Linked DNA regions of Macaca mulatta. The protein of the gene in region 4 interacts with the protein of the main gene of each other region in a pairwise test. Links are inferred from orthologs where the notes say so. Each region holds a gene or a part of one and is shown on either strand. Other genes may lie near its edges.

What was found.
Region 1: the proteins of CRX (region 4) and BANP interact in binary tests that used the Homo sapiens proteins (3 or more experiments, as listed by UniProt). The two-hybrid records come from large-scale screens. The link is inferred for Macaca mulatta from reciprocal best matches to the Homo sapiens genes CRX and BANP.
Region 2: the proteins of CRX (region 4) and LONRF1 interact in binary tests that used the Homo sapiens proteins (3 or more experiments, as listed by UniProt). The two-hybrid records come from large-scale screens. The link is inferred for Macaca mulatta from reciprocal best matches to the Homo sapiens genes CRX and LONRF1.
Region 3: the proteins of CRX (region 4) and LARP4 interact in binary tests that used the Homo sapiens proteins (3 or more experiments, as listed by UniProt). The two-hybrid records come from large-scale screens. The link is inferred for Macaca mulatta from reciprocal best matches to the Homo sapiens genes CRX and LARP4.
Region 5: the proteins of CRX (region 4) and PPP1R16B interact in binary tests that used the Homo sapiens proteins (3 or more experiments, as listed by UniProt). The two-hybrid records come from large-scale screens. The link is inferred for Macaca mulatta from reciprocal best matches to the Homo sapiens genes CRX and PPP1R16B.
Region 6: the proteins of CRX (region 4) and M1AP interact in binary tests that used the Homo sapiens proteins (3 or more experiments, as listed by UniProt). The two-hybrid records come from large-scale screens. The link is inferred for Macaca mulatta from reciprocal best matches to the Homo sapiens genes CRX and M1AP.

The regions. Positions count from the first base shown.
Region 1 is NC_133425.1:83,420,881-83,425,751, reverse strand, and holds part of BANP (protein BANP), read right to left. Parts: intron 2,025-4,871; coding exon 1,888-2,024; intron 1-1,887. UniProt on the Homo sapiens protein: Controls V(D)J recombination during T-cell development by repressing T-cell receptor (TCR) beta enhancer function. Binds to scaffold/matrix attachment region beta (S/MARbeta), an ATC-rich DNA sequence located upstream of the TCR beta enhancer.
Region 2 is NC_133413.1:13,056,954-13,062,461, forward strand, and holds the start of LONRF1 (LON peptidase N-terminal domain and RING finger protein 1), read right to left. Parts: upstream 3,778-5,508; 5' UTR 3,693-3,777; coding exon 2,972-3,692; intron 1-2,971.
Region 3 is NC_133416.1:57,585,267-57,590,697, reverse strand, and holds the start of LARP4 (la-related protein 4), read right to left. Parts: upstream 3,531-5,431; 5' UTR 3,389-3,530; coding exon 3,305-3,388; intron 3,247-3,304; exon of another isoform or gene 3,128-3,246; intron 2,486-3,127; exon of another isoform or gene 427-2,485; intron 202-426; exon of another isoform or gene 195-201; intron 1-194. UniProt on the Homo sapiens protein: RNA binding protein that binds to the poly-A tract of mRNA molecules. Associates with the 40S ribosomal subunit and with polysomes. Plays a role in the regulation of mRNA translation.
Region 4 is NC_133424.1:60,319,443-60,324,379, reverse strand, and holds the end of CRX (cone-rod homeobox protein), read right to left. Parts: intron 1,511-4,937; coding exon 863-1,510; downstream 1-862. UniProt on the Homo sapiens protein: Transcription factor that binds and transactivates the sequence 5'-TAATC[CA]-3' which is found upstream of several photoreceptor-specific genes, including the opsin genes.
Region 5 is NC_133415.1:91,777,850-91,782,720, reverse strand, and holds part of PPP1R16B (protein phosphatase 1 regulatory inhibitor subunit 16B), read right to left. Parts: coding exon 4,796-4,871; intron 4,029-4,795; coding exon 3,899-4,028; intron 3,807-3,898; coding exon 3,638-3,806; intron 1-3,637. UniProt on the Homo sapiens protein: Regulator of protein phosphatase 1 (PP1) that acts as a positive regulator of pulmonary endothelial cell (EC) barrier function. Involved in the regulation of the PI3K/AKT signaling pathway, angiogenesis and endothelial cell proliferation.
Region 6 is NC_133418.1:50,146,705-50,152,146, reverse strand, and holds the start of M1AP (meiosis 1 arrest protein), read right to left. Parts: upstream 3,715-5,442; 5' UTR 3,692-3,714; intron 3,659-3,691; exon of another isoform or gene 3,366-3,658; intron 2,740-3,365; exon of another isoform or gene 2,607-2,739; intron 1-2,606. UniProt on the Homo sapiens protein: Required for meiosis I progression during spermatogenesis.

The DNA.
Region 1 (4,871 bases), on a different chromosome or scaffold from region 4:
TCCATGAGGGTTTTGTTTCAAGAAGCACCCCTCCCCCCACTATGTGGACACCAGAAACCGTGGATGGTGCTGAACCCCGTATATGCTATGCTTTCTCCTGCCCATACGTGCCACACAGCTTGGACATGCTGGACAAAGGAAGGACTCAGTCCTGGATGGGACAGAGCAGGACGACCAGATTTCATCATACTACTACCCAGAAGAATATGCAATCTGAAACTTACAAATTGTTTATTTCTGGAATTTCTCATCTAATATTTTCAGATCACAGTTGACCATGGGTAATTAAAACCTGGGAAAGTGGAGGCATGGGTAAGGGGGGGCTACTGTGTAATATACACAAAACATCTTCCAGTACTTCACAAAGGAGCAATAGGTCCCAGGAAAGATATTTACATCTTTACATGTTACTAAACAAGTAAATTTTAAAATGTGCCTGACACATAGAAAAGAGGGGAAACAGAAAATCAGAATGACACCTCTTTCCAAATGATACGTTCAGCTCTCTGGGAAAGCTGGGAGGCTACGCATGGAGCTTGTGGCTGGAGCAGGGGAGCTATTCACGTGCCTACACTCACAACAGGGCAGGCAACGTTTTTCAAATCAAAGAAACACTCATATAACTATTTAAACAGTTTGAGTAAACATTAATAAATGTGATTCAAAAAAAAAAAAGTCAAAGAATCCAATGTTTATACATACAGGCAGACAAATAATTCCTATAAACCTATAAATGAATACTCCTTATCTTATTTGAAATTATCTCTTAGTCAAAATGGATCTTAAACTCCTGTAGAATGTTCTTTGTAAGCCTTATGGCAAAGTTATCTACTCTGGAACTCTTTCAAAGAACTTCTTACTAACAAGATGAGAGGAACTGACGTTGTGAATGTCAAACAAATTAATAAGCTTATTAAATAAGACTCACTATTCATAACTGTCTCATCTCCTTTGGAAGAGGAAGGGTAATGCCCCCTCTAAAAGCCCCAGAATTTTCTGGAAGCCTTCCCTCTTCCAGACAGCGTGCTGAAGCCACACTGAGATGAGAGCCACGCCCCACTCTCAACAGCGAAGGACCTTGTTTCCAGGAGAAAGCCCGGGCGACACGTAGGCACACAATGACCTCTGTCTTCAGAGGTCCCAAGGGTGCTGGTGCCACTAAAGACATCAGCGATGTCTACTGGTACATGTAAAATTCCTAGTCACCCAGCAAAGCTTCCAGAAAAGTCTTCCTTCCTTCTCAGCCACCCCCTACTCTTGCGCCACAGAATCCAGGAGGTGTCTGTAGAGGGACTTCACCTGGGAGTCAGCCCCGAGCTCATCAGGCTGACCACAGCTTGGGCCACAAAACCCCAACAGAGAACTCTGCACGGGCAAGGCAGGACATTGACTCACTGCTGGGGCAGTGCCCGCCCAACCCAGGTGTGCTGAGTAACTCCAAGGCAAACGCTGATGGGAACAATGACCTCAAGCTTTTGCCACTGATCCTAGAAGGAAATGACTCTTTCCCTCAGTGAGAGGGCACCTGCGCTTCTGAACTGAGAAATATTTCTGATGCTTCCCAGGAGCATGAGCTGGGACAGGCACCACCGCACGGCCTAACCCTCGCAGCTGACTGCCCGCCTGACTGCTGGCAGGACTAAGGTGAGCTGGGCACCCACTCCACCATGTGCTTCAATCCCCAGGCTCTGCAGCAGCCGCCCCCCACCTGTGAAATGTTAAGAGCGCATGGCTATGACAACCTCTACTTTAAACGGGGACCTCGTGCCTCCTCCCAAGCTATCACTGTGCTTCCGAAACAGTGGAACCGGTGGAGGCCGCCATGGCCCTGCCGTGGCCCGCCCTGCAGCCCCCTTTCCCAAGGTGCTAGGTGGAGAGGGTACGTACTACTTGCACCTGTCCGTCTTCTCCGATCTGGTGGATCTGCACCTGCTGAGCGTTGGCCAGCGCGTAGTGCAGGGCCTGCGGCTGCGGCTGTGGCTGCGGGAGCTCACTGGCGGGAGGTGGGGTGCTCATCATCGGCTCTGTGGGGGCGACAGGTGTGAACGGGGTGAACGAGAAGTGTCTTAGGCATTGCCTCTTGCGGCATGTGTGCACCCCTGTCCCTCCCTCTTGACTCCCACAGCAGAGAAGAGGAAATGCTTCATTTTTCCTCGACTCGCTGCGTCTCCACTCTTCTGCAGAGATCGCTACGAGTGAGTCTAAGGAACTGAGGCTTCCAACATGGAACGCAGAAGCGCCTGAGAGTGGAGTGATGTTGCTGTGACAAAACCCCTTCCAGTCCCAACTTCTTTAAATGAATAAAGTTCTTCAAGTGGACATTAAAAGCTGTGCTGGCAATGTTTGTCCATGGGGAATTAAACTAATAGGACAAAAGCCTCATCCATACACTTAAAGGTACATTTCCGACAAATTTTACTTGCTGTGTTTAATCAAAATGAGATACATTTGCTTTGATGTACTGTGTATTAATTTTCACTGTAATCATGTCTCAATCTTAATTTTCTTAAACACTTAGAGTATTAAGAGCACAGAAAAACTTTTTAATTTTCAATGTATACATGTAGCTTTGTTGCAGAGAATTATAATAACTAATTAAAAAAAACTTTTAAGCATAAAAATGTAGTAAGAAGGGCCGGGCACAGTGGCTCACACCTGTAATCCCAGCACCTTGTGAGGCTAAGGCAGGCAGATCACCTGAGGTCAGGAGTTCAAGACCAGCCTACCCAACATGGTAAAACTCTGTCTCTACTAAAAATACAAAAATTAGCCAGGTGTGGTGGCACACGCCTGTAGTCCCAGCTACTTGGGAAGCTGAGGTTGGACAATCACTTGAACCTGGGAGTCGGAGGTTTCAGTGAGGCAAGATCATACCATTACACTTAGCTCCAGGCAACAGAGCGAGGAGGGGGGGAGGGGAAAGGGGAGGAGAGAAAAGAAAAACTTTCCATGTATTTTTTACCAATAGCTAATGGGAGGTATTAAATTGCCATAGTACATAGATTCCACTGAAAACATTTTTTAAAGTAACAATAAAATGTTGGCTTTTTTTTTTTTTTTTTTTTTTTGAGACAGTCTCGCTCTGTCACCTAGGCTGGAGTGTAGTGGCGTGATCTTGGCTCACTGCAACCTCTGCCTCCTGGGTTCAAGTGATTCTCTTGCCTCAGCCTTCCAAGTAGTTGCGATTACAGCCACCCACCACGATGCCCAGCTAAATTTTTTTGTATTTTTTGTAGAAAAGGGATTTCACCAGGTTGGCCTGGCTGGTTTAAAACTCCTGTCCTCAAATGATCCACCTGCCTCAGCCTCCCAAAGTGCTGGGATTACAGATATGAGCTAGGGATTACAGATATGAGCTACTGTGCCCAGTCACATAATAAAATGTTGATACTTGCAATATGCTAGAAATTGCCCGGCTACACTAAATCAGAATCTGAATTTCATGAGATTCGAAGGTGGTCCTCCTGCATGTTGAACGTGGAGAGCTCGGCTCCAGCCAAAGACCCTGACTCCACCTGAGCACCTCCAGATGTGGGTGATGTCCCAAAGCAACCACCCCCAGGCAGTGCTGCACGCTCCACAGTGCGTTCCTGTCTGCCTGAGCAGTTACAGAGCACTTAGCACCATAGGTCCTCCAGCAAGCCTTGTGGACCCCAGGAAGAAAATGACGAAATCCCAGTTGGGCTGAAGCCCACCTCCGCGGACCTACTGCTCCTCCACTGACCCTCTCGGCACCTACAAAACCAGCCTAATTCTTCACTGATGCGCTGCTTCTCCAGGCATCTAACCATTATCAAACCTTGTGAAATCTCAATTTCTAACTGTTTCCGCAAAGACAACGGTTTCCAGCCCACTGCCACCTTGACAGTCCCTGGAGCGCTCCTCCCAGCGGCTCCAAAACGCCCCACCGGGGCCACAGGGCAGACAAGCTAAGAATGGGTGTGCTCCAGAGTGCACCTTCCAACTGCACGGGCTCCGAGGAAGGTCCTGCACACCGGCGCAGCCAGGAAAACACTCTGCTTCACACGCTGCTCCACCACCGTCTACTCCTGTGCAAATGCTTTGAGTCTACATTTTCAGCTATGAAATTTCAGCTCATTAAATTTACCCTTTCAAGATTTTAGTATCCTAATGACGCAGGCCAACATATCTGGCAGTCGTCAGGTTATATAACAACCGCTTCTTGCTTACTAAGGTCCTGGCAAGTAATTTAACTTAGGTTTTGATTCCCCATTGGATGAAACAGACCGCTAACCTTAGCAAGTGCACGTACCCGAAACACATGGCAGGCAAGCCTGGAAACCACTCTCCTCGCTTTTCAAGTCTAGGAGTTCCTTACGGTTCTTTCTGATGTCTTCTATTTCTCTCCTTGCTATGTTCCTTTTTTCCTTTAAATTCTTGAATGTAATTTTAATAAATTTCAATGTCCCGGTCAGTTAATCCCAGCCAGGGTCCCTTCCTATATTTAATAAATTTCAATGTCCCGGTCAGTTAATTCCAGACAGGGTCCCTTCCTATCTTCTGATTTTCTGATCACAGGTCACAATTTCCTGCTTCCTGGTACTTTTGACTGGATACTGGAGATGGTGAATTTTACTTTGTTGGATGTCTAGGTTTTGTTGTCTTTCTTTTAAAATTGTTGTTACTTGTGGTTCAGTGTGATCTTTCTCAGGCTGTTTTAAGCTCCGCCTTTACTCTGGGATAGGTTAGTCGCTGGGGGGCGTGGCCTGCTAGTGCAGTGACGGCTGTTTTAAGCTCCGCCTTTACTCTGGGATAGGTTAGCCGCCGGTGGGCGTGGCCTGCTAGTGCAGTGATGGCGGTTTTAAGCTCTGCCTTTACTCTGGCGATAGTTTAGCCGCCGGTGGGCGTGG
Region 2 (5,508 bases), on a different chromosome or scaffold from region 4:
CGAAGGAGACAAGTCAGTGTAAAAAAACGTTAAACACAAAAGGCAGACAGCATGGCTTAGTGGGATCATTTCAATAGGCTCAAGTACAGAGATTCAGTGCAGAAAAAACTTTACATAATATCCTTGAATACTAAAAAGACAGAAAGTTATGAAACATCTGAGAGTTAATACCAAAAGATCAATGGTTTAAATGTTATCTAAATATATTTCAATTCAACAGAAACTTATGTAATCTAAATGGGAAACTTCTGATTTTGGCAAAGGTTTTCAAGCTTTCTTTTGCTGCTGGCAGAGATAAGTTTGGATGTGTGTGGGCTAACTGCAGACTAGATTTTTTCTAGTTAATAGTATTTATTTGTTTCATTATAAGAATTACATGAAAAAAATTATAGTGAAGATCTTTTTTTCATTATCAATAATGACAGGGTCATTAATAACTACAACTGTACAGTTATATAAATACATGTCAAATGCCTAACTTGCCAATTCCAAAGAAGTTAAAGCCTAACGATCATACAAATGGATTATGACTGCACTCGTTAACATTTTGATTTACACCCATAAATTGTGAAACACTTATAAATCGGCCCTTTACCAACTCTAATAGCTCTGAGATTTTTTTCCCATTTTACTTCACATTAATAATTCAAAAGATTTAAAAAACTTATCCTCATTCGTGCCATTCGGACATTTTCAAGTATGGAATTAATGATTCTTGAAAGAACTAAAAATGAGGAAAAAATTAGCTAATGAAGTGAAAGTCAGAAGACGTGGGTTCTATTCCTGCAAGAGTAGAATTAAGTTGCTAAGTGCACAAAATCCCCACGTGCAATCTATGCAGCTTGTAAAAAGCAGAGATTACATCTTTCAGAGCCTTTTCCTGTTAAACATAACATCCTCGATACAAGAACCAAAATCTCTGTTAATTATTATTGGTCACAAAATGTTAAGCTAGACCTCAATTAGCAAATATGTTCACTGTTCTTCCATGGCCCAGGACCTGGATTCTTGTGAAACACCTAATTTAAGGTCGAATCACTGTATCAGTAGTACTGTCCATAAGTTTCAGCCTCAGTGACCAAAAAAACTTCTTTGGATATGTATAATAAACATTTTCATCAGATAAGCTATAAGGCAGGATGAACCCTAGACCAACGTTTAGGGGAAGTGGAAGATACAGCGCTGCCTCTCAACCAGTTAACACTGTGACTGTGCGCAAGTCTTCACTGCCTGGCATCTGCTTCTTTGCTTTAAAAATCATACCATGGTCAGTTACTAGATGGTCTGTACAGCTGAGTCCAGTTTCTCTTCTCTTTATTCACCCAGAGGGACAGAGTCATCCGTATCAGAATTCTGTGTTCCAAACACTTTTCTTTTGTTCTGAGCCTATCTTTCTATTTTATAACTGCCTACTCCTCATAAAGGCACTGAAAGAATACAAAAATCTCCGGTGTTTGTGCTTCGAACTCTGAAGATATTAAACAATGCAAGATCTTGACGTAAGTTCAATATGACTAAGCACTTGGGACAAAAGATGACCCGAAAGATGATCCTTTCAGTTACACAGTCTATAAATTTACCTGTAATACCTAAAGTCAGCTGCTATTCTAGATGTCTATTTTCTTGGGGATTATTCCCCCAACTATCCCCCAACTATCATGCCATTCCCCCAACTATCATGCCAATGGATAGACACTAAAATCTTGAAATACGCGTAACACAAGGTTTATCAACAGTGGCACTTGGGGCCTGATAATTCTTTGTTGTGGGAATCCTGCTGTGCCTCATAGGATGTCTGAGCAGCACCCCGGGCCTCTCCCACTAGATGTCGGTACCAGCACCACCCCCACAAGAGGTGGCAACCAAAAATGTCTCCAGATATTGCTCTAGATAATGTCCCCTGAGAGAGGGGAGGTAAATCCTGCTGGTAAAGAACTACTGATTTAAAGAACAACTCTTCCTTTTACATAAGAGAAGCTTGACACTGCCCCCTTTCAGCGCCTAAAACCACCTTAAGAAGAAAGTGCTAGCTAACCTAGGTTAGGAGGCCGAGGCTGCTTCTTGGAGACTAAGAAATGCACTCAAGACCTACAAGGCCTTTCCCCACAGCTTGATCCTAAGTGGAACGGCCAAGAGAAGCGTGGCAAAGAACTCTGGATCAGGAAGCCCCTCTCATCTTTACCATAAGCTAGGTGCACTGCAAAGTACATAGGAAATAAGCATGATCTGAAACAGGCCGGCTGAAACTTTCGAGAGAAACCAGTTCAGGCATTTCCAGGTAGCAAGGGACCACCCGGGGCAGCTCCGCCCCGCGCCCCAAGCCCGGCGGCCTGCGGGGCCTCCCGGGGCCGGGTGCCCGCCCGGAGCTCCCGCCACGCCCACCGGACGTCACCCGTTACACAACGACCCCCGCCCCCAGCTTATGCAATTCTGCCCTCCCGCGGCTCCCAATTGTCCCGGTGACTTTTGTGGGTGAGGAAGGGAGACGCCGCCTTCCCGGCCTAGTTGTCCTCGTGGGGGATTCTCTCCCCACCCCGGCAGTCGTTTCCCCGCGGCGGGCCTGGCGCGAGAGAGTCAATTCCCGGAAAGCGCGCGGCAGGAAGCGAGCGGCCGCTCGGGATAGCCCAGCTCCCACCCATCCCGCGCCGGGGCACCCACGGCTCCGGTCACCCACTCCGCGCCCGGAGCGCGCGCCCGACGGCCAGGCCGCGGCCGAGGGAACCCCGCGCCGAGCGCCCCTCCCCGCGCTGCGTCACAGTCGGCTCCCAGGGCGATCCCCATTGTGACCGAAGCACCCCGGGGCGCCGCCCCCTCCCACACCCCCCAGCACCCCGAGACCCAACACGCCAGTGGCCCAGCGGCCCCGGGGAAGCAGAGGAGACTCCCGGGACGCAGACAAGCTCCGGGTCCCCGGCCCTCGGGGCCAGGAGGGTGCGGTCGGCCCGGCCCCGCCGCATCCCCGCGCGGTCACCTGCTCGCAGCGCCTCGCAGGCGGCGGCCAGGGCCTCCCGGTAGCGCCCCTGGTGTAGCAGCTCCCCGAGTCTGCCAGCCGCCCGGGCCCGCTCGCGCTGGCCCGGGAACCACTTCTCGGCCAGGTGGTTGAGGACGACGCTGGTTCTGAAGTCTGAGGCGGCGATGGCGGCTGCCAGAGGCGGCGGCCGCGGGGCGGTCCCTTCAGCATCAGTGGCACTGGCGGTGGCGGGCGGCAGCCGGTCCCGGCAGAGGCGGCAGCGGGCGCGGAGTTCCCTCCGCAGGCAGCGGCGGCAGTAGCTGTGGCCACAGGGCACGGTCACCGGCTCGCTCAGGAAGCCCCGGCAGCCCAGGCATCTGAGGAGCCCGCAGGCGCCGCCGTCCGCGCCCGCAGCCGGGGCCGCGCTCCAGCTCAGCCCGTGGCGGAGCCGGTAGTTGAACACCAGGCAGTCCACCAGGGCGCCCAGGCACTCGGGCCTGGCCGGGGCCCCGCGGCGCAGCGCCGCCGCGAACGCCTCCAGCGCGCCCTTCAGGTGGCCGCCCAGCGCCAGCAGCTCCCCGCGGCGGAGCAGCAGTTCCCAGCGCTCCGACTCCGCGGCCGCGCGCTCCAGCCGAAGGCCGCTGCCGCCGCCCACTTCCCAGAACCGGCCTCGGCCCTGCGGCGCCGGGGCCATCTCCCGACTCCCTCCCGGGGAACTCCTCGCCACCGCCGGAGAGGACATGGCCCGCGGAGGGCTGCGCTGCCGCCGCCCGCCGCCACGGTCCGGGAGCCTCCCGGGCGCGCGGCTCCGCACGCGGCCCGCGAGCAGGGGGGCGTGGCGCGCGGACACGGCGGGGCGGCGCGCGCCCGGGAAGCCCCGAGGGCGGGGCCTGGCGAGGGCGGGGCCGGGCTCGGCGACGGCGCCGGGACTCCCCCACGCAGCCCGCGGCCGCGCTCGCGAGGAGCCAAGCGCTGGGCCCCGCCCCTCCCGAGCCCCCTCCCGGCGGGGGCGCAGGTCGGATGATTCCTCCGTCGGAGATCTAATTGGCTTCTCCGGAAAGGAGGGCTCGGCTCGTGACGGAACAAAGCCCGATGGAGCCCAGAGTCTCCGTCCCCGCTTGCCTGCTCGCCGACGCCCCCACCTGCGGTGGCCCGCGCCCTTGCCGCGCGGGACTCAGGGTCACCACCCCTCCCCCGACGCCCCCGCCCAAGCCGGACCTGCCCCAACTCCTGGCGGGCGGGGGTCTCCCGGCGTGTCCTCACGCTTGTGCGGGTCTGCATTTTCATTCCTCTATGCCCAGGTTCCAGGTGGGCGCTCCCAAGCAGGGGGCCTGGGAGGGCACCTTCGGCAGATGACTGGGACTCTTCGGTTCTAGAGGACTCAACTTGAAACAGGAACACAAAACCCACGTTCCTGGGGCGACTCCCTCCAGAGGGCAAGGAGTTTTTCCTGGTGCCAGGTGACTGCTGCCCTTTGCTTAAAACTCATCGTAGGCCCACCTCGAGGGAGAAAGCCCACACAGTTCCTCAGGTGTCTCCACACCTCAGGCACTGCCTTACAGCTGGTTAAAGTCTATAGTTGGCATATTTAAAAGAAAACACCGAGAAAAATGTTGTTCACGTGGCGGTCACCGTATTACTACAACCCAAGCAGGGTCTGCAGTTTTGCCAACAGAAGAAAATGATGGGGTTGATATATAATAGGTGCTATTTCCCTTAAACTTCACAGCGGCAAGTTTAAAGCTCTCCGCTGAAAATATTTATAGATTTGATTATAGGGTATTAGATTGTTAATGTTAGGAGTCACTTAGAACTTTTAGTCCTTTTTCAAATGATGGGAAACAGAGGGAAAGTTATTTGTCAAAAATCACACAGCTAATATAGATTTTAAGATCACGTCTATTCCACTATTATGTTACTACGTTAGACTGATCATATATAATATTTAATAAAATAATAGTAATATTTCATAGAAATAGATTGTCAAAGTAAAGGAAGTTGCTAATTGGAAAGTTCACCTGAGCATAGTATGTCTGAAAATGGTATAAGTTTAATATTTCTCTTTATAAGGAACGGCAATTAAGGCTAAAAAATGTTTTGAGTTAATGTGTTTTCACTACACAATGAGCAAGTCGTGTAACGTCAGAAAAGATAGAGATATATTACCCTAAAGGGAATGAATAAAAAAGAGGTGCTTGAGAAAAAGCCAAGCCTCCTGTTCCAACAGGATGCAGACAGAAACAAGTTCATTTATCATTCACATTGCACCTGAAGCAAATTGCAGCTAGATCCAAGGAGCACCTCCTCAGCATTTGGCGTGGGAAGCACTGGGATTAAGTCATGAGATAACCTTAAATCCAATCCTAACCCCCGAAATTACTACCTTCCCTCAACAAGCAGAACAGTGACTTTCATCTGATGTCCACATACTCCCTTGAGACTTGAAATCACAAATAATATAACAAATATCCATGTGTACACGCACATTCATTTTTGTAATGCATTCTTGTTCTTAATGGCAACTTGCAAAATGTACAATAGTAAATAATGTGTTCATG
Region 3 (5,431 bases), on a different chromosome or scaffold from region 4:
GCCACCACATTGGGCCCAAGGCCAGGTTTTAAAAACTTGCATCTAAGTATTATTTACATAGGATTCCTTGTCTGCAATATATTCTACTCCAATATAAGTAGGTGGTTGATGAGTTCAAGCTTCCACGTTCACTAACTGTGTAAAAACTTAGGCAAGTTTAAATTCTCTGTGCCTTAGTTTCTTTTTTTTGAGACAGTCTCACTCTGTTGTCCAGGCTGGAATACAGTGGCACCATCTCAGCTCACTGCAACCTCTGCCTCCCAGGTTCAAGCGATTCTCCTACCTTAGCCTCCCATGTAGCTGGGATTACAGGTGTGTGCCACCACATCTGGCTAATTTTTGTATTTTTAGTAGAGATGGGGTTTCACCATGTTGGCCAGGCTGGTCTCAAACTCCTGACCTCAGGTGATCCGCCGCCCACCTCAGTCTTCCAAAGTGCTGGGATTACAGGCATGAGCCACTGTGCCTGGCTGCCTTAGTTTCCTTATCACTAAAATGGGGATACTAACACCTCATAGAGATATTGAGACTTAAGATGTACAGATATCTATATATACAAAAACATCAAACGTTCCTGACACAAAGTACAATACAAGTATGTACTACTACTGTTATTATTGTTATATTGCTATTATCTATTCTACTGATTCTAGTGGGATAGTTAAGCTGGAATCTCTCCAGAAAAATACACATTAGTAAACGGTATTGAACACAATTGCAGAGGACCCAGGGATCCCAGATTAATCCTGCCAAAGATGATCCACAAGCAACTTGGTTAGTAAAGCAGTTCTTAACCTCTTTTGTGACAAAGACCTCTTCAGTAGTCCAATTAATCTATGGATCCCTTCTCAGAGTTTTTTTAAATTTCTAAAATATATAGGATCACAAAGTAAACTAATTATATTGAAACACAGTTGTCAAAATATTTTAAAATGTCTAATATAGCAATACGTTAAATAACAATATTTTTGACATATAGCAAGTAATGAGCATAAATATTTCAAGATATCTGCAAAAACTGTAATATATGTTAAAAAGTGATTTGTCTTGGTGACAAGGTCACAGACACTGTTGCTGCCATTAACATTTAAAGAATTTTCACTTCTTTTCCATTTAGATTTCAGTTAGAAACTAGTGAAAATAAACAATTTTTTTTCCCCAACCAAGCTCAGGTACTTACTTCCTCAATTCTATCCAAAAACCTAGATTCAGAACCTTTGACTTATGGGAAAGTGCAAAAATAATTTTGGAGCCAGAAATTTATGTTCTAGAAGCCAGACTTCAGACTTTAACCCCCACATTATTTACACTTGAATGACCTTAGATATCTAACTTCTGAGCTTTGGTTCTCTCACTGAGAATAATTCCTCTATCATGAGGTTACTGGGATCAAATACTAGTTAACAAAACGTCAAATGACCAATATGTTGTTTGTCACTGATTTTAAAACCACATATTCAGCCCCAAATATTTAAAGACAGCGAATTTTCAATAAAACTCATATGAGAAAATGAAGAACGACATAGTAATTCACAAAGAAAATGATTAATGGAGATACAACTTTTAAATAATAGTTTGGCAGAGATATGGTAGAATTTGTCTAACCTGGGGAGTTGGACAGGCCTGAACTGCTAACATCCCGTCCATGATTTGACATCAGCAACACCTGGATCTAAATCCCAGTTACACTACTTTACTTTTACTAAGTAAAGTTACTTTAACTTCTGGGGCTCGGTTTTGTCATCTGTAGAATATTTTAAGTATTGCTTTAGAGACAGGAGAGGACCTAATTTAAACAATAAATGGGGCTGTTATTAAAACTTACATTTTAATAAAGCCAAAGGAATCAATTTGGAAGTCAAAAGTATATTGTGGAGCTCCCGTCAATATAAACTCCACAATCTTTCTTCCGCTCAGCAAAACACACACTTAAAACCTGTGGTATTTACATAGCATAACATTCCTAAAACAAAGTGGCCGGCAATGTCTTAAAATCCTATCTGATTTCTTATTCTGCCTAAGGAAAACAACAATGAGGATAGAAAACAGTAAACAGAATGAGTTCAGTAATTTTAAATCTTTTCATGATTTCCCCGGATGTTCCAATGAATGATTATTATTAATGTTAGATATACTCTAATGTAGCAGTCTTTTAAAACACTAAAGATGTCAAGCTTATCGGCGACACAATGTCAGTTAAACAGAAAAAAAAACCTAAAATCATTTATTTACTTTATGCTGGAACATTATGGATTAAGATTTTCCCACGGGGGGAGGGGGGAGGGATAGCATTAGGAGATATACCTAATGTAAATGACGAGTTAATGGGTGCAGCACACCAACATGGCACGTGTATACATATGTAACAAACCTGCACGTTGTGCACATGTACCCTAGAACTTAAAGTATAATTTAAAAAAAAAAAAGTCGAAAAATTAAAAAATAAAATAATAAAAATTTTCCCACAACCCGGAAAAAAAAAAAATCTGCCATAGGCTGGCCCCGGCTCCTAGACCCATTATACAACCTGTAAATTCCTTCCCTCATTGAAAAGATTATTTTTATGGGCATAGTTAACAAACGCCAAGTTGCGAAGTTGCAGCTTTGCTGGTTTGACGTTTTCACAATGTAAGAACAATATGATCTGGAATCTACTCAAAGCATTAGCCAGGCAGTCAGCTGACGCTTACTGCACACAAGAGGACAGAATGAAGGGAAATTAAATTTCGTATTTCTGTAAGGCAGGTCTCCAACTCTATCTTGAAAACTAAATAGGCCAACAGCAGATGTTCTAGTTTAAGTAATAAAAGTATCTCATTGTTCAAATAACATTACAAACACCGGCTTTTCCCGGAATAAGTTTCTCTCCTTCTTGGAATTTTCCTTGTAAAGGGCTTTTAATCGGTTCATAGAACCAACCCTTCATCACGCAGTTGCTGCTTGAGTAACTTTTACAAAAGGTCAAAGCGGTGCCTTTCAAGGCTTCCAAACCCTACTGGCTTCTCCTCGATTCAAAGTAACTCGCTTTCACCCACAGAACGTTCCAGAGACCTAGGGACGGGGCCCGGGCAGAATTTGGTGGAGGTTGCTCAAAGAACTTTTTCAATTTTCTTTTCAAAACACTTACCGCATTTCACCTTCCTCCATCCGTGGCCCCACATGTTGCTCGCCTCCCTCCCAGAGGGCCCCGCGAGGCCGCGCTCGGCCCCCGGAACGCGCCCACCTGATTACCCTCTCCTCTCAGACTCCGCCCCCCAACCCCCCAATGCCGTCTCCTTTAGGAGGTCCATATGGGACACTTTACCCCTCCTCTGAACCTCACGCCACACCAGACCAGCCCTCCGTTCTTCTCCTTCAATTCTTCTCCATTACGGGCATCACCTCCCATAGCTTCCTAGAGTGTTGTGAGCGCGCAGAGGGAAGCTGCAGGCCTGCTCGGCCCAGGTGCTGTGTCAGCCTATCTGCCGGTTCCGCGGCGTGTACGGCCCGGAAAGTCACATGGCGGTGGGACCGGCCGGCGCCTCTACACTCCTGCTCTCCTAAGAGCAGGACGAGACTAGCAAATCCACTCACCTCCACGAAAAGCAACATGTCGTCCTCTGCTCGGCCCAATCGTTCCCGCCGCCGCAACTCCAACTGGCTCACAGGCCCGCGCCCCAATTGCTAGGATAAGGACACACACTCGCCTTGCCCCTCCACCCGGCAGTGGACCCGGCTCCTCCCCCGCCGTCAGCGGCTGCGGCCTGACCCGCCCAGTCCCACCTCCCTTGAAACAACAACTGCTTCCGGGTCTAGGGAAAAATTGTTTCCGGCAGAAAAGAGTCGTCGACGCGCTCAACTTTTGCACCATCTTTTCTAGCAACAGTGTGGGATGTACTATCATCTGTCGCGGGGGGGACGATTAGCAGGAGATGCCATTCTGGGGCACGGGGATGTGTAAAAATCTTAATGACACATTTTATCACTTGTCAGATAGCTACACAGCACTGATAATTCCGCAGTTTTCATAGTTCACAATCTAGATTTGATTTTTAAAGCCGACCTTGGCGACGTGTGCTGAACAAACGTCCAACCCTGCCGAAAACTGGTGGCTCACAGAAGAAAAGTAGACAAGAAAAAAAAAAAAGCTATAAAAAGCTATGATAGTAGTAAATACGTTAATAGCAGTTACTGTATATTAAATGCTTACATTGTGCTTGGCACTATACTGAGCATTTTATGTTAATTGATCTTAAAACAATTTTATGCAATAAATAATATTATTATCATCCCCATTTTACAGTTGAAGGAGCCCTCTAGGAGGTTGGGTTTCGCTTTGACACACCTTTAAAGAACTTTGCCCTGGGCTCATTTGAATTAGTTACCCATATCTCCACTTAATATACTAGTAACAACGCTTAATCTGTATAGTCTCTTCTTTGATATTCTGTCATTAATTCAAACGAAATACAATAAAAACAAATTTTTTAAATTATCTATAATATTTGTTAGATGGTCCAAATTCCTTATCTTTAGCAATATGTCCCTCCCTTACCACTCCCACGTCTACGTCCTAGTTCAAACACTCATCTTTTGAAATAATCATGTATTGGCTGGGAGGGGTGGCTCACACCTACAATCCCAGCACTTTGGAAGGCTGAGGCGGACGGATCACTTGAGGTCAGGAGTTCAAGACCAGCCTGGCCAACATGGTAAAACCCCGTCTCTACTAAAAATACAAAAATTAGCCGGGTGTGATGGTGCACACCTGTAATCCCGGCTACTCCGGAGGCTGAGGCAGAATTGCTTGAACCCAGGAGGCAGAGATAACAGTGAACCGACATTGCGCCACTGCACTCCAGCCTGGGCAACTGAGTGAGACTCTGTCTCAAAAATAATAATCATTTGGTAATGAATAAAAATTGGCCGGGCGCCGTGGCTCATGCCTGTAATCCTAGCACTTTGGGAGGCCGAGGCGGGTGGATTGCCTTAGGTCAGGAGTTTGAGACCAGCCTGGGCAACACGGTGAAACCCCATCTCTAGTAAAATACAAAAAATCAGCCAGCCATGGCAGTGTGTGCCTGTAGTCCCAGCTACGTGGGAGGCTGAAGCAGGAGAATTGCTAGAACCCAGGAGGCAGAGGTTGCAGTGAGCCAAGATCACGGCACTGCACTCAAGCCTGGGTGACAGAGTGCGACTCTGTCTCTAAAAAATAATAATAATAAATAAATATGAAATAATCATGCTTGATCTTTTCCAATGGATTTTTCCATTATATTATTTTAAAAATCTTCCTCAAGTAAAGGTCTCATTTTCACCAAACCACTGTTAACTTGATTTCAAGACTTTGCCATTCTGATCTCATGAAATCTTCCTTGCTTTGCCGCAAATGGAATCTCCTCAGATACCACATTAATTCCACCACCAAATTGCTGATAGCTGTTATCTCAGA
Region 4 (4,937 bases):
AATTCCCAGATGATTTATTTTTAATGTAACTGCATCATTGGCCTAAGGTTTCCCGATGGGGCTTCTTAAAGTCTGTCTTTGGAATTTCTAGAAAGGTCCTTAACCATATGCTAAAGAAGTGTCCACATGTAGGGCGGGGCACCGTGGCTCACGCCTGTAATCCCAGCACTTTGGGAGGCTGAGGCGGGCGGATCACTTGAGGTCAGGGGTTCGAGACCAGCCTGGCCAACATGCTGAAACCCCGTTTCTACTAACAATACAAAAAACTAGCTGGGTGTGGTGGAGCACACCTGTAATCCCAGCTACTTGAGAGGTTGAGGCAGGAGCATCGCCAGAACCCAAGAGGCGAAGGTTGCAGTGAGCTGAGATCGCACCACTGCACTCCAGCCTGGGCGACAGAGCGAGACTCCGAGTCTCAAAGAAAAGTGTCCACGTGGAAAGTTAAGGAATCAAGCCCCTCTACCTGCTTGTTCAAGGGCATGGTGATTCTGACCTAAACATGACCCCAAATCAACTGCAAGTTTGGTTTGATTTCTTCTTGGAGCAAGTTCTCAGCACCACTTTCTGAAGCCTGGAGCTCGTGGTGTACTTCCGCGGTCACAGTCGCGCCAGACGGTGTTGGGGTTGAGAGAATCACTAGGACCTGTGAACTGTCCCGGGAGAGGGAGGAGCCTCTCCCTGTGGAGGAAAGGGGTGGGCTCTGTAAGCTGAACACGGAACCGCGGAGACCACGGCTGTCGGAAGGACAGCTGGTTCCGGTTGCTTTCTCAGGGATGCCGTCCCGGGATCTAAGCTGCAGGGAAGCAGATTCGGAAAAGAAAGGGTCCCGAGGCCCGACGGGGAGAGATGGAGACTGCGTCCTCTACAAGATCTGAAACTTCCAGGCACTCTGATCCTTGTAGTCCAGAGGGTCCATGGGATTGTAGGTGAATTTCCAGGTGCCCGTGGGGTCCTTGAATTCCAAGCTATCCACGGGACTGTAGGCGCCATAGCTCTGGCCTGATAGGGAGGTGGGGGACTGGGCCAGGGAAGGTCCCACCGAGGGGCCAGAGAGGGGGCTAAGAGCTGGGCCCCCTAACTGGGGCACCATGGGAGAAAGGTAGGGGTCTAGGCCACTGAAATAGGAGCTCGGAGACCCATAGGCGGAGGGGGAAGAGCAGAAAGCAGAGGCCGGGGCATAGGTCATGGCATAGGGGGCCGAGGTCAGAGACGGCCCCGAGGCCACCAGCCCAGCCCTCTGCGCCTCAGGCAAAGGGGACTCTGATGCTGGGCTCCAGATGGACACAGTGGCCACTGCCGGGGTTGGGGAGCCTGAGGGGCCGGGCAGAGGGGGACTGTAGGAATCTGAGATGCCCAGAGGGTCTGGACAAACATCCGTGGAGGGTCTTGGGGACGTGCCTGCCTTCCTCTTGGCAGGCCGGGCCTTGACCTGGCCCCCTGGGGGCTGCTGCTGCTGTTTCTGCTGCTGCCGCTGCTGCCTGCATTTAGCCCTGCGGTTCTTGAACCAAACCTGAGGGTAAGAGGGGAGATGGGGGTAGGTAAGTGGGGAAGAGGCCCAGGAGAGCCGCAGGGTGCTCAGGGATGAGGACCCTTGTTGGTGAAAGGTGCTGAGGTCACATCTCTCTACTTTGCATCCAGCTGTGGGGCATCTATTCATCCATCCATCCATCTATCCATCCAATCATACCTGCGTGTGTGCATGAACACAAACATACGTCATACCTACAGGCATTCATCCATCCATCTAATACAAACATGCACACATACCATTATGCATACATACACCATAAGCACATACATCATGCCTACATTTACCCATCTATATGATCATACATACATCATACACATATTCATCCACCCATCTAATACAAACATGCACACGTACAATTATACATGCATACACCATACACATATACATCATGCCTACATTTACCCATCTATCTGATCACACATGCATACATCACACACATATACATCATACATACATTCCCTGGTCCATCTGATCATACATGCAAGTGTACATACATACATCATACACACATACGTCATACATGCATTAATGGAGCCATCTGATCATACATACATACACCATACACGTATTCATCCACCCATCTAATACAAACATGCACACGTACAGTTATACATACATACACCATACGCACATACATCATGCCTACATTTGCCCATCTACATGATCATACATACATCATACACATATTCATCCATCTAATACAAACACACACATGTACAATTATACATAAATACACCATACACAGATGCGTCATGCCTACATTTACCCATCTGTCTGATCATACATACATACATCATACACATATACATCATGCATACATTCCCTGGTCCATCTGTCATACATGCAAGTGTACATAAATACATTATACACACATACATCATACATGCATTAATGGAGCATCTGATCATACATACATACATCATACACATATTCATCCATCCATCTGATCATACAGATATACAATTATACATACATACATTGTACACACATACATCATACATATATACACATTAATCCATACATACGATCATACAAACACATATTTCATTTATCCATCTAATTATATATACGTGCATACACTCATATATACATAAATAAACCCATCCATTCATCCAATCATGCATGCATGCATACATACATCATACCCTACAGGCATTCATCCATCCATCTAATACAAACATACACACATACAATTATACAGGCATGCACTATACATGCATGCATCATGCATACATTTATCCATCTATCTGATCATACATACTTCATACACGTATTCATCCATCTGGTCATATGAACATACAAATATCCAATTATAGGCACATACATTGTACACACATAACATCATACATAACTATGCACTAATCTAACCATACATACATACAATCACACAAACACACATATTTCATTTATCCTTCCAATCATACACATGTGTATATGCACATATACGTAACATCATACCTGCAGCATACAAACATACATGCATACAATTATACATACATACACCATACACACATACATTATGTAGACATCCATCTGATCATACATATATACCTCACACATGTATATGTTGTACAAACATTCACCAGTCCATCTGATCATACATACATCAGACATACACTTATCCATCTGATGATACATACAATTGTACATGTACATCATATGTAGATTCATCCATTCGTCTTATACATATAATTATATGTACATACATCATACACACATACATCATACACACATTAATGGATCTATCTAATCATACATACATCATATGAACATTCATCCATGCATCTGATTATACAAGCATACAAATATACAATTATACACACATACATCATACACACATACATCGTACACATATACACATACATCGTACACATATACACATTAATTTATCCAATCATACCTATGTCTAATCACACAAACACACACATTTTATTTATCTGTCCAATCACATACACCTGCATACACTCATATATACATAAATACACCAATCCAGCCGGACACGGTGGCTCACATCTGTAATCCCAGCACTTTGGGAGTCCGAAGCAGGTGGATCATGAGGTCAGGAGTTCGACACCAGCCTGACCAACATGGTGAAATCCTGTCTCTATTAAAATACAAAAATTAGCCCGGTATGGTGGTGCGTGCCTGTAATTCCAGCTATGCAGGAGGCTGAGGCAGGAGAATTGCTTGAAGCCAGGAGGCGGAGGTTGCAGTGAGCCGAGATTGTGCCATTCCAGCCTGGGCGACAGAGTGAGACTCTGTTTCAAATAAATAAATAAATACACCCATCCATCCATCCAATCATGCATGCATGCATGTATACATACAATTGTACATGTGTACATACATCATGTATACATATATCATGCGTGCATACATTCGTCATCTATCTAATCATACCTACATGCGTTCATACAAACACACATATATAAATGTATCCGTCCATCATACACACTAGACACTCATATATGCACATACATACACTCATCCATGCTTCCAGTCATACATGCACACACACATATACAGTCACACATACACATTCATCTCTGCATCCACCCACCCATCCATCCATCCGTCTATTCAGTCAATGAACAAACATGCATTAACCATCTTCTGCTACTCTTGAGGGTCCATCAGTGGAATTGACATTCTAGTTGGGAGAGACAGAGTCTAAATAAACGGACTCTGAGATACCTTACATAAACTGTATGAACGTATGATCATATGAACATACAAATATACAATTATAGGCACATACATTGTACACACATAACATCATACATAGCTATGCACTAATGTATCTAATCATACATACATACAATCACATAAACACACATACTTCATTTATCCTTCCAATCATACACATGTGTGTAGGCACATATACGTAACATCATACCTGCAGCCTACAAACATATGCAACTGTATGGTATCTCAGAGGGCGATAGATACAAACACACGTAAACTGTATGGTATCTCAGAGGGCGATAGACACTGTGGAGGAAACGATTGAGCGGGATAGTGGGCAGCAGTAGAGTCAGGGTCTTGGGGAAATACTGCAATGTTAAATGCTGTGTTCAGCATGGGTCTCACTGATAGATAAACAAAGACTCGAACAAGGGGCCTGCTGTGTGGTTATCTGGAAAATAAGGATTCCAGATAGAGGAAACTTAGTGCAAAGGCCCGAGGCAGGAGGGTGCTTGGCAGGCAGGTCAGTGCCCGGCGCGGCTGGAGAGGAGCGAGGGGCGATGAGAGCCTTAAGAGGCGGTCAGTGGTATGGTGGGGAGAGGAATTATTGTCTCCTTGATAACTTTGGCTGTCACTCTGTGATCGCTCCCTCCTCCCATCACTCTGAGTTCCAGGGAGGCCCCTGGAAGGTCACAGGAAGGGTCGGGAGGGGTCCAGGGAC
Region 5 (4,871 bases), on a different chromosome or scaffold from region 4:
AATTTTAATATTCAAACGACCGAATTCTAGAAAGCAATAAAAAAGAATGAGGGAGCCAGGCGCGTCGGCTCACGCCTGTAATCCCAGGACTTTGGGAGGCCGAGTCGGGTGGATCACGAGGTCAGGAGATCGAGACCATCCTGGCTAACACAGTGAAACCCCGTCTCTACTAAAAATACAAAACATTAGCCGGGCGAGGTGGCGGGCGCCTGTAGTCCCAACTACTAGGGAAGCTGAGCAGGAGAATGGCGTGAATCCGGGAGGCGGAGCTTGCAGTGAGCCAAGATCACGCCACTGTGCTCCAGCCTGGGTGACAGAGCGAGACTTCATCTCAAAAAAAAAAAAAAAAAAAAAAAAAACAACAGAATGAGGCCAGGGAGACTGGGATATGAGGATCATTTGAGTTCAGGTGTTTGAGAGCAGCCTGGGTAACATAGCAAGATTCTATCTCTAAAAAAAATTTTCTGTTTTGTTTTGTTTTGTTTTGAGACAAAGTCTCACTCTGTCCCCAGGCTGAAGTGCGGTGGCTCAATCTTGGCTCACAGCAACCTCCACCTCCCGGGTTCAAGGGATTCTCCTGCCTCAGCCTCCTGAGTAGCTGGGATTACACGTGCCCACCACTATGCCCAGTTAATTTCTGTATTTTTAGTAGAGACGGGGTTTCACCATGTTGGCTAGGATGGTCTCAATCTCTTTTTTTTTTTTTTTTTTTTTTTGAGACGCAGTCTCGCTCTGTCGCCCAGGCTGGGGTGCAGTGGCCAGATCTCAGCTCACTGCAAGCTCCGCCTCCCGGGTTCACGCCATTCTCCTGCCTCAGCCTCCTGAGTAGCTGGGACTACAGGCGCCCGCCACCTCACCCGGCTAGTTTTTTGTACTTTTTAGTAGAGATGGGGTTTCACCGTGTTAGCCAGGATGGTCTTGATCTCCTGACCTCGTGATCCGCCCGTCTCGGCCTCCCAAAGTGCTGGGATTACAGGCTTGAGCCACCGCGCCCGGCCGGTCTCAATCTCTTGACCTTGTGATCCACCCGCCTTGGCCTTCCAAAGTCTGGGATTACAGGCATGAGCCACGGCACCCGGCCAAAAAAATTTTTTTTAATTAGCCAGGCATGTTGGTGCATACCTATAGTCCCAGCTACCCAAGAAGCTGAGGTGGAAGGATCACTTGATCCCGAGAGGTCAAGGCTGCAGTGAGCTAGGATCACACCACTGAACTCCAGCCCAGACAACAGAGTGAACTCCTGTCTCAAAAAAAAAAACAAAAACAAAAAACAAAAACAGAACTACTGCTATATGCCACAACGTGGGTGACTCTCACAGATGTTAAAAAAGCCAGACATAAAAGAAGACAAACTACAGTGTCTATTCATATGCATATACAAAACTAATCTTTAGAACTCAAAGTTAGATAGTGGCTACATTTGGAGTGGGGGAAACGACAGAGAGAGAACATGGATGATGAAAATGCTCTATGAATTCATCTGAGTGTGTACATTTGTAAAAGTTTGTTGAAAATCTCATTTAAGATTTGTCTACTTGGCCAGGCATGGTGGCTCACATCTGTAAGCCCAGACTTTGGGAGGTCCAGGTGGGCGGATTGTTTGAGGTCAGAACTTCAAAACCAGCCTGGCCAACGTGGTGAAACCCCATCTCTACTAAAAATACAAAAATCCAGCAGGTGTCGTGGTGGGCACTAGTAATCCCAACTACTGGGGAGGCTGAGGCAGGAGGATCACTTGAACCCGTGAGGCAGAGGTTGCAGTGAGCTGAAATCACACCACTGCACTCCAGCCTGGGTAACATGCAAGGCTCCATATCATTAAAAAAAAAAAAAAAAAAGGTTTGTCTGCTTTACCATACTTAAGTTACACCACAATCACAAAGGAAAAATAAATAAAGCACAGCTGGGAGACATCTGAAATGTGATTTGATCTTGATCTATGTCTCTTTTCTCACCAATCCTCAGACTAAGGGGCCAGGCAGAACAAAGCTTCCCTATGTGCCCTCTCCATCACCAGCTGGTGGCTTTGATGTGGCCTCCCCTTGGGCAGGCACCTTCACACCTCCTGGTGAGACAGACAGTAGGTGACCTCACTGTTCATGCTGGGAAGCAGGGTCCCTCTGAGACACGTGGGCATGCTGGGTAGCTAATCAATTGCATCCCAGCAAAGCTAAACTCTCTAGGCATGTTTTCATCTGTTCATGGTGTGGTGGAAGAACAAAAATGGCAGACCACCTCTGGTACAGTTAGCTTCTCCCTCGTCCTCAGCAATTCCACTCCAGCCCCAAACTTGTTCACTCCACTCAGCAATAAAGCAGCCATGCTGAGTGTGTTGGTTCTGGGTTAAGTAGTGTCCCTCAAAAATTCATGTCTACCTGGAACCTCCAAATGTGACTTTATCTGGAAATAGGTATTTGCAGGTGTAATAAATTAAATTAAGATTAGGTCATACTGGATTGGCATGGGCTCCAATCCAATGACTGGTGTCCTTATAAGAGGAAAAAACAGGCTAGGTACAGTGGCTCAAACCTGTAATCTCGATACTTTGGGAAGCCAAGGTGGGAGGATTGCTTGAGGCTAAGTTTGAGACCAACCTGGGCAACATAGCAAGACCTCATCTCTACAAGAAATTTAAAAATTAGCCAGGCATGATGGCTCCCACCTATAGTCCCAGCTACTTGGGAAGCTGAGGTGGGAGGATCGCTTAAGCCCATGAGTTGGAGTCTTCAGTGATCTATAATCATGCCATTGCCTGAGTAACAGAGCAAGACCCTGTCTCAAAAAAAAAAAAAAAAAAAAATCCAATAAAATAAAAATAAAAAGAGAAAATACACACACACACACACAAAGAAGAATGTCATGTGGCGATAGAAGCAGAGACTAGAATCATGCTAGCAAAAGCCAAAGAATGCCTGAGCCACCAGAAGCTCACAGAGCTATGGAACAGAATCTCCTTGAGAGCCCTCAGAGGGAACCAACGCTGTGTCACCTTGATTTTAGACTTCTGGCTTTCAGAACGGAGACAGAATAAATTTCCACCGTGTTAAGCCATCCAGTTTGTGAAAATTTCTCAAAGCAACCACCAGAAATGAATATGTGTTCCCTTAGGAAAGCAGCTTAAAGCTTAAAGGACCATTGGCTGCTACAGGAGCAGGCTTCTCAGAGGTCCTACTAGGATCCTACTCCATTTTTCAAAAAGCATGTTCTGATAAACACAATTCTCAATATCTTGTTATATTTCCTGAAAAAGAAGTTGTAGCTCCCTCAGCTCCTGGGTGACTGCCCTATTGAAGCTCTCTTCTGGGAAGCCTACTGCTAGGTGTGCTGGAGCATAGCTAGGCACATAGCGGACACTCACCCCCTGTCAATTAGGAGACGCACCTGTGTGCCAAAGCACCCAGCTCAGCCTCTAACACGCTCCCTGATCACCTCTTTAACTACAGCAGCCACCAGCATCAGACTGAAACTGCTGGCTGAACTACAGTAGCCACCACCATCAGACTGGATATGCTAGTTTAAGGGCAGTGCCTGGCTACTTCCCTCTGAAGGCTCTCAGTTGAAGAGGCAAGGCCAGGCTTGGCCCTGTTCTCCTCCCATTGCAGTGGCTGACACTGGGGCAGAGAGTGAGGCCACTCACAGGGTCCTTATTCTCTTGGTCTGTCCTGGTCTCCCTGATGTCCCCGTTGTAGGTGGAGGTCCGCTGATCCTCGGCTGCACTCCGCTGCTGCCACAGGATGGCCTCTCCCTCATACTCCTTTCTGTACAGGTTGGTCCTGTCCGACAGGCTGGCTCGACGCACCACCTTCCTGAGAGGACAAAGTGGGTGCTGGAGGCTGCACCCAGGCGCCACAGGCAGGAGCACGCACGGGGACCCTTGGCTGCCCTGCCCTGGACTCACCCACGGCTGCCTGCGCTGGATGTCCTCCGGCTCAAGGATGACTTGTGCCTCAGCTGTGACTTCATGATCACGTCATGCTTGTGTTTTAGCTCCAGCAGCAGGACCTTGAACTCTTCCTCCTCGCACAGGTCTGAAGGGGCAGAGGAGTCTGTTGTGGGGGACAGGGCCAGGACCTGTGGCCCAAGAGGGTGCTCCAGACCAGACGAGCTACCACCCCAACCCAATGAAAACTCCAAGCATCTTTTGGGGCATGCAGGGAGGGAAGCAAACAATGCCAGCCTAAGTTCCTGGGCTGCAACCCAAACCTTAGAGGATTATAAGAATGGGAAACCCAGGTTCTGGGCACAGTCACAATTCCTAAGGTTCCCAGCTATGACCGAGGGATTCATGTTCCTCTTTGATAGTCTCCAAGAAGAGTCCTCAAGTCTTCATTGACAGAAGTAATGAGGGAAATAAGCAGGTACCCCACATAGCCCAAGCAATAAATTATGCAAAAATGCTAAGAAAGCTACATACTCCTATCTATTCTACTTAACCCCTTCATCCAGCTATCTACCCACTGCTGAAAGAGCCATCTATTCAGATTCATCCTTTACCCACTCATCCACTTATTCTTCTATCTATTCATCCATCCATCCACCCACCCACCCATCCAGTCAACCATACCTCATAATATCTACCCATGTACCCCTCTCATCCATCCATTCATCCATTTATCCATCTATCCCTTCATCTGTCCATCTGTCCATTCATCTACCATCCATTAATTAATCCATCTGTCTATCTATACACCAATCCATCAGTCTATACAACCATATATTTATCTATTTCTCCCTCTACCCATCAAAAAATTGATAACTGTCTATTTGTGCACACCAGCTGTTGTGCTGGACTCACCTATTGGCATCTCATCCATGGATGTCCTTGCACTGAGACTAGCTCCATGGGACACCAATAGCTCTGCCATCTGCAT
Region 6 (5,442 bases), on a different chromosome or scaffold from region 4:
AAAAGAACATTAGGACAATCAAAAGAAAACATAAAAGAAACACGATAAAAAAGATAGCTAAAAAATATGTCCCCACCTCTGAGAACTAAAATCATTCTATATAATTGTTTTTAGCTAAAGAATGTAGGGAGGCCGGGCACGGTGGCTCAAGCCTGTAATCCCAGCACTTTGGGAGGCCAAGATGGGCGGATCATGAGGTCAGGAGATCGAGACCATCCTGGCTAATACGGTGAAACCGCGTCTCTACTAAAAAATACAAAAAACTAGCCGGGCAAAGTGGCGGGTGCCTGTAGTCCCAGCTACTCGGGAGGCTGAGGCAGGAGAATGGCGTGAACCCGAGAGGAGGAGCTTGCAGTGAGCTGAGATCCGGCCACTGCACTCCAGCCTGGGTGACAGAGCAAGAATCTGTCTCAAAAAAAAAAAAAAAAAGAATGTAGGGAAAATTAAAGCTTCTGTGATTTCCCCTGTGACCAAGAGAAAGATAATTACGATAATTTTCAGAAACACTTTGGAATTTAGAATCTTTAAAAATGATCTAAGAATACATAGATAGATGTATTTCCCCAGATGAATTTGTGAAGTTATTCACTTCAAACTTCCCTTTTTGAATGGCGGAAGTCAGCATTTGTTCATTCAACATTTTTAAAAACTGAGTTCCAATTATGTGTTGGATACAGCTAGAAAAATAAATGAATGAATATGCTAATCTGTTGAAAGTTATCTTGAACCAGAAATCCAAATCAATTACTAATGTATTTACCAAGAAAGCACATAACATATTTTTAAACTGTACTTTAAGTACATGGGGCCAATTTCTACATGGAATGCTGAACTTGAAGCTGACACAGAGAAATTCACACAAATAGGCAGTTAGAGGCCTTATTTAATGTATAATTAAATTTAATTAACCATCTCCATCTCTCACTTCTGAAAATGCCATTTTAAAGTAGAGGCAGTCCTCATTTTGCATGGTTCCAGTATATAGATTTCAGTTACTACAGTTTAGTTAATTAACACCAGTTCTCCAACAACACAGTTCAAATTTCAGTTACCATGGAATATTAACTGTAATTACATAAAGTAGTATCTAGCTCTTCAGTTCACAAATTATTACATAGTTATCAGTATCAATAGTATAGTATACTGATATCGTGTACTGATATAATATAGTGATCAGTGCATCATGATCAGTAATTAATTACATCACTTCTTTCAAAGTCTTTTGGTGACTGGTCACTGCAGATCCGTTATTCGGTTAAAGCGCAGACAGCAAAGTGCATAGTTGTGTCACCTCCTTGTCTCCTAGTGATAAGCCCACGTGATGTTTTACAAAAATGAAAATTGAAGGAGGAAATTAGCCAATAAAAAGAGCAGCAAAGAAATAAAAAATGATAATGCTGAGAGTGAAATCTGAATCTAACATAAGTGGAGTTAAAGGAGAAACAGCTGACTATGAGAGTGTTGACACTGCCTCCATTTGATAGACTCTAGAGAAGCAGCCAGAGGAATTTCGAGAAGGCAAACTTATCAACATACTTGAGGAAAGTCATTGTGATGAAAAGGATGAAGACGTCCTACAGAAAGGGTCACTGGCAAAAAGCTTCATTATTAAAGAAACTTTCAGAGATATTTTACAAAATTGAAGGTACAAAGGATAAAATGTAGGAAATTGACCCAAACTTAGAAGTATGACAGTTTGCCAAGACACACAAAAAATGTTTGCTCTCACAAGTTTTACTATGAGAAGAAAACAAGTACTGTTCAAAATACTCTTTTTTTTTTTTTTTGAGACGGAGTCTCGCTCTGTCGCCCGGGCTGGAGTGCAGTGGCCGGATCTCAGCTCACTGCAAGCTCCGCCTCCCGGGTTTACGCCATTCTCCTGCCTCAGCCTCCCGAATAGCTGGGACTACAGGCGCCCGCCACCTTGCCCGGCTAGTTTTTTGTATTTTTTTTAGTAGAGACGGGGTTTCACCGTGTTAGCCAGGATGGTCTCGATCTCCTGACCTCGTGATCCGCCCGCCTCGGCCTCCCAGAGTGCTGGGATTACAGGCTTGAGCCACCGCGCCCGGCCCAAACTACTCTTGATAAGTTTTTTTTCAAGAAAACACTTTAGCTTTCAATGTTTCTAATGTTTTAAGTTAGTGTATGAAAGTTTTACTGTTTTACATTTCCCTATACACTTAGTAAGAAAGTTTTAGTGTTTTGACAATTTTTCAAGGTTATAGAACGACTGTAATTTTTCCCATTGGTGTTTAAGATCTCTTTGAATGGTTTCAGCTTGCAGTCATTTTTCAATCCCACACTAATGTGCAATTGGAAGACTGTATTTTAAATGAGGTAAGAGGCAGCTGTCTTCCTTACATCCTCAAACATCATCAATTCATGCATCTGATGTGTCTGGGCATAGTACTAAACAGGATCTGACCTTATTTTGACCCTACACTCTCCACTTTCGCCAAGAACACTCGCTTAATGATTTCTCCCTGCAAACTGGTTAAAACTGGAACTGGGCCTTGAACCACCCAAAACCACCAAGTTACACCCAAACTAAAAACTCTCCAAGGACTTCCAATTACACCACTGGAAACAAAATCCAAATTCTTTACCCTGGCCCTAAAGTTGCTTGTGCCTTCTGCCCAAATCTCCATCCTCACGCCAGGCCCTCCCCTGCCCGCAACCCGGGAGATCCACCTCTCACAGATCGGCCTCTCGCTGTGTCTCCCTCGGTGGATGTTCTGTTCCGTGCTGAGCTTTCTAGGTTAGGGCCCCTTTACATGCCCTCGTTCACTTTGTCACGTGATAAATGATTCAATGGTTCTCCCTATGGCAGGGCCCCATTAAAGATTTCGTGGGCCCTTTCCTCCATTAAAAAAAGATTAAAAGAAGTTAATGGATTTTGTAGGCCCTAAAAATCTCATTTTCCCCTCCTGATGTGAGAAAAAAATCAAAACACTTTATTTGACTTTACGAGTTCACTTTAAACGAAATGAAAACATTCTCGTGGCCGGGCGCGGTGGCTCACGCCTGTAATCCCAGCACTTTGGGAGGCCTAGGCGGGCGGATCACGAGGTCAGGAGTTCGAGACCAGCCTGGCCAACATAGTGAAACCACGTCTCTACTAAAAATATTAAAAACTAGCAGGGCGTGGTGGCGGGAGCCTGTAATTCCAGCTACTCAGGAGGCTGAGGCAGGAGAATCGCTTGAACCCAGGAGGCGGAGGTTGCAGTGAGCCGAGATCACGCCATTGCACTCCAGCCTGGGCGACAAGAGTGAAACTCCGCCTCAAAAACAAAGCAAAACCAGAAGAAAAAAAAAAAATTATCGTGGCCCCCTGAATCCTCGTGGTCCCTCGGCATGGGGCCTACCGTGCCTGACGGATCAGCAGCCCGGCCCTCGGGCCTGGGGGTCCCGCGGAGGAAGCTCCGGGCCCAGACTCCGCGCAGGCCTGGCCGCCCAAAACAGTATGCGGAGGGATGACCCGACAGCGATTTCGGAGCCTCTCTCTGGGCGTCAGTCCTGCCCCAGCACTCGCCACGGCCCACGCAGCCAACACCTGCCTGAGGACTGGCCAGAGCTCGGCCCACGCCCAGCCTGCGAAGTGGTGCCAGCTGCTCTCGGCTGCCCTCAGCTGCCCTCCCTCCCCGAGGCGTGGAGAAGGGGCCCTGTCTTCGGAAGGCTGAAGCCTCCTCACCTGGTCCTCCCGGCTCTCAGCGTGCGCCTGCGCGTTCGGAGGCGCCCCCGTCAGGCCCGCGCGGCTGGGTGGGAGTCTTACTGCGGGCAAGGCGGGGCCCGGCCGCCTCAGGGTGCGCTTCAGGTGACGCTTCAGGAAAACGGTCTCCAAGTCCCTAGACGCCCTGAGAACAGTCATTCTTTGTCCCTTAGGTAGAATTTTGTCTATTTGTTGGAAATACTGTGCTAAACCTGACATTTTTTCTACCACTTCCCTCCCTGAAACATCCCAGTAGCGCCCCCACCGACCGTGTTATTTGTTTTAACTTTTCCCTTCCACATCATTTCCTTCAGCTAGTCGCTATTTTGTTCACTAAACATCTGTGGTGGGCACATTACGTGCCGTGCACTGTGCTAGGACTGGAGTACAGTGGATGTACAGACGATGGTCCCTGCCCTCATGGAAGTTATAGGCTACCTTCAGAAAGTTTTTTAAAGTCTTTTCAAACTCCTGTATTCCAAGAGGGTCTGTCCCTGTCTTCATATTCATTCTCGCTTATTTGAGGTTGATTCCCATAGTCCCTTTGACGAACTCCAGATGGGGTAGGAGCGTCCTGGTCCTTAACAGTTGGTTGGTCTGGGTCTTCAACTCTGTCTGGTTAAAAAGGAATTCTCTGAATTAGTCCACAGGAGAGGGAAAGAGAATGCTACTTCCAAGCTAGAAATGTACAAGCAGTTTTCCTTGTTTTCTTTATTATTATTATTTTCTCAGTTCATTGCCTAGATGCAGGTTGGAGGTGGGGTGGGACAGTATTTCAATGAATGGCACAGGATAGGTTACATGTTTCAACAGGAAAAGAGTCACCTGCTTGTATTCTAGCCCCACTAAACAATTTTGCTCCTATCAACTGTTCCTCAGGGTAAGAACAGAACTATTTAACTTGTGTCCTTTTTTAAACACTATAATCTGATATACAAGAGAGTTCCTGTGTTTCTGTTGAAAGGGTAGCTTCTCAATCGCTCTTTCCCCCCATATAGTCCAAATTAGCCTTCCTGTCTCTAATCTCCAGATTATCCTTTCCACTGATGTTAGAATTGTCCTTGTAAAAATATTTTGATCATATTCTTTGTCTTAAAAACGGCTTATGTTTCCTTTTCGGTTAAAGGGTCCATTATAACTGACCCCACCTACCTTACTAGGCTCAACCCCAACATTAACTGTCTTACTCCCCTTTGTGTTGCTATGCCAGAATACCACAGAACAAGTAATTTATAAATAAAGGAAATGTATTCTTAAATTCTGGAGGGTAGGAATCCAAGGTTGAGAATCCCACATCTAGTGAGGGCATTCTTTCTGTGTCATCCCATGGCAGAAAGCAGAAGGGTAAGGGAGTACAAAAGAGCAAGACAGCAACAGGGAGCTGAACTCACTTTTACAACAAACCCACCCTTTCAGTAACTAACTTACTTCCAAGATAATGACATTAATCCATTTATGGGGGTAGAGCCCTTATGACCTAATCACCTCTTATTAGGCCCTACCTCTGAACACTGTTCCATTGGGTATTAAGTTTCCAGCAAATGAACTTTGGAGGACACATTCAAACTTGAGCACTAGCCTCACTCCAAACCATACCACCTATTGCTCTTACCTACTATTAATTTCTTTCTGTACCCTCTATAGCATTTATTAAAAATATGCAAAGAACTGTACCAGAAATGGAGACTATGACATAAGAATTGTTTTCTGAGGGTGACAAACTATAATGGTCA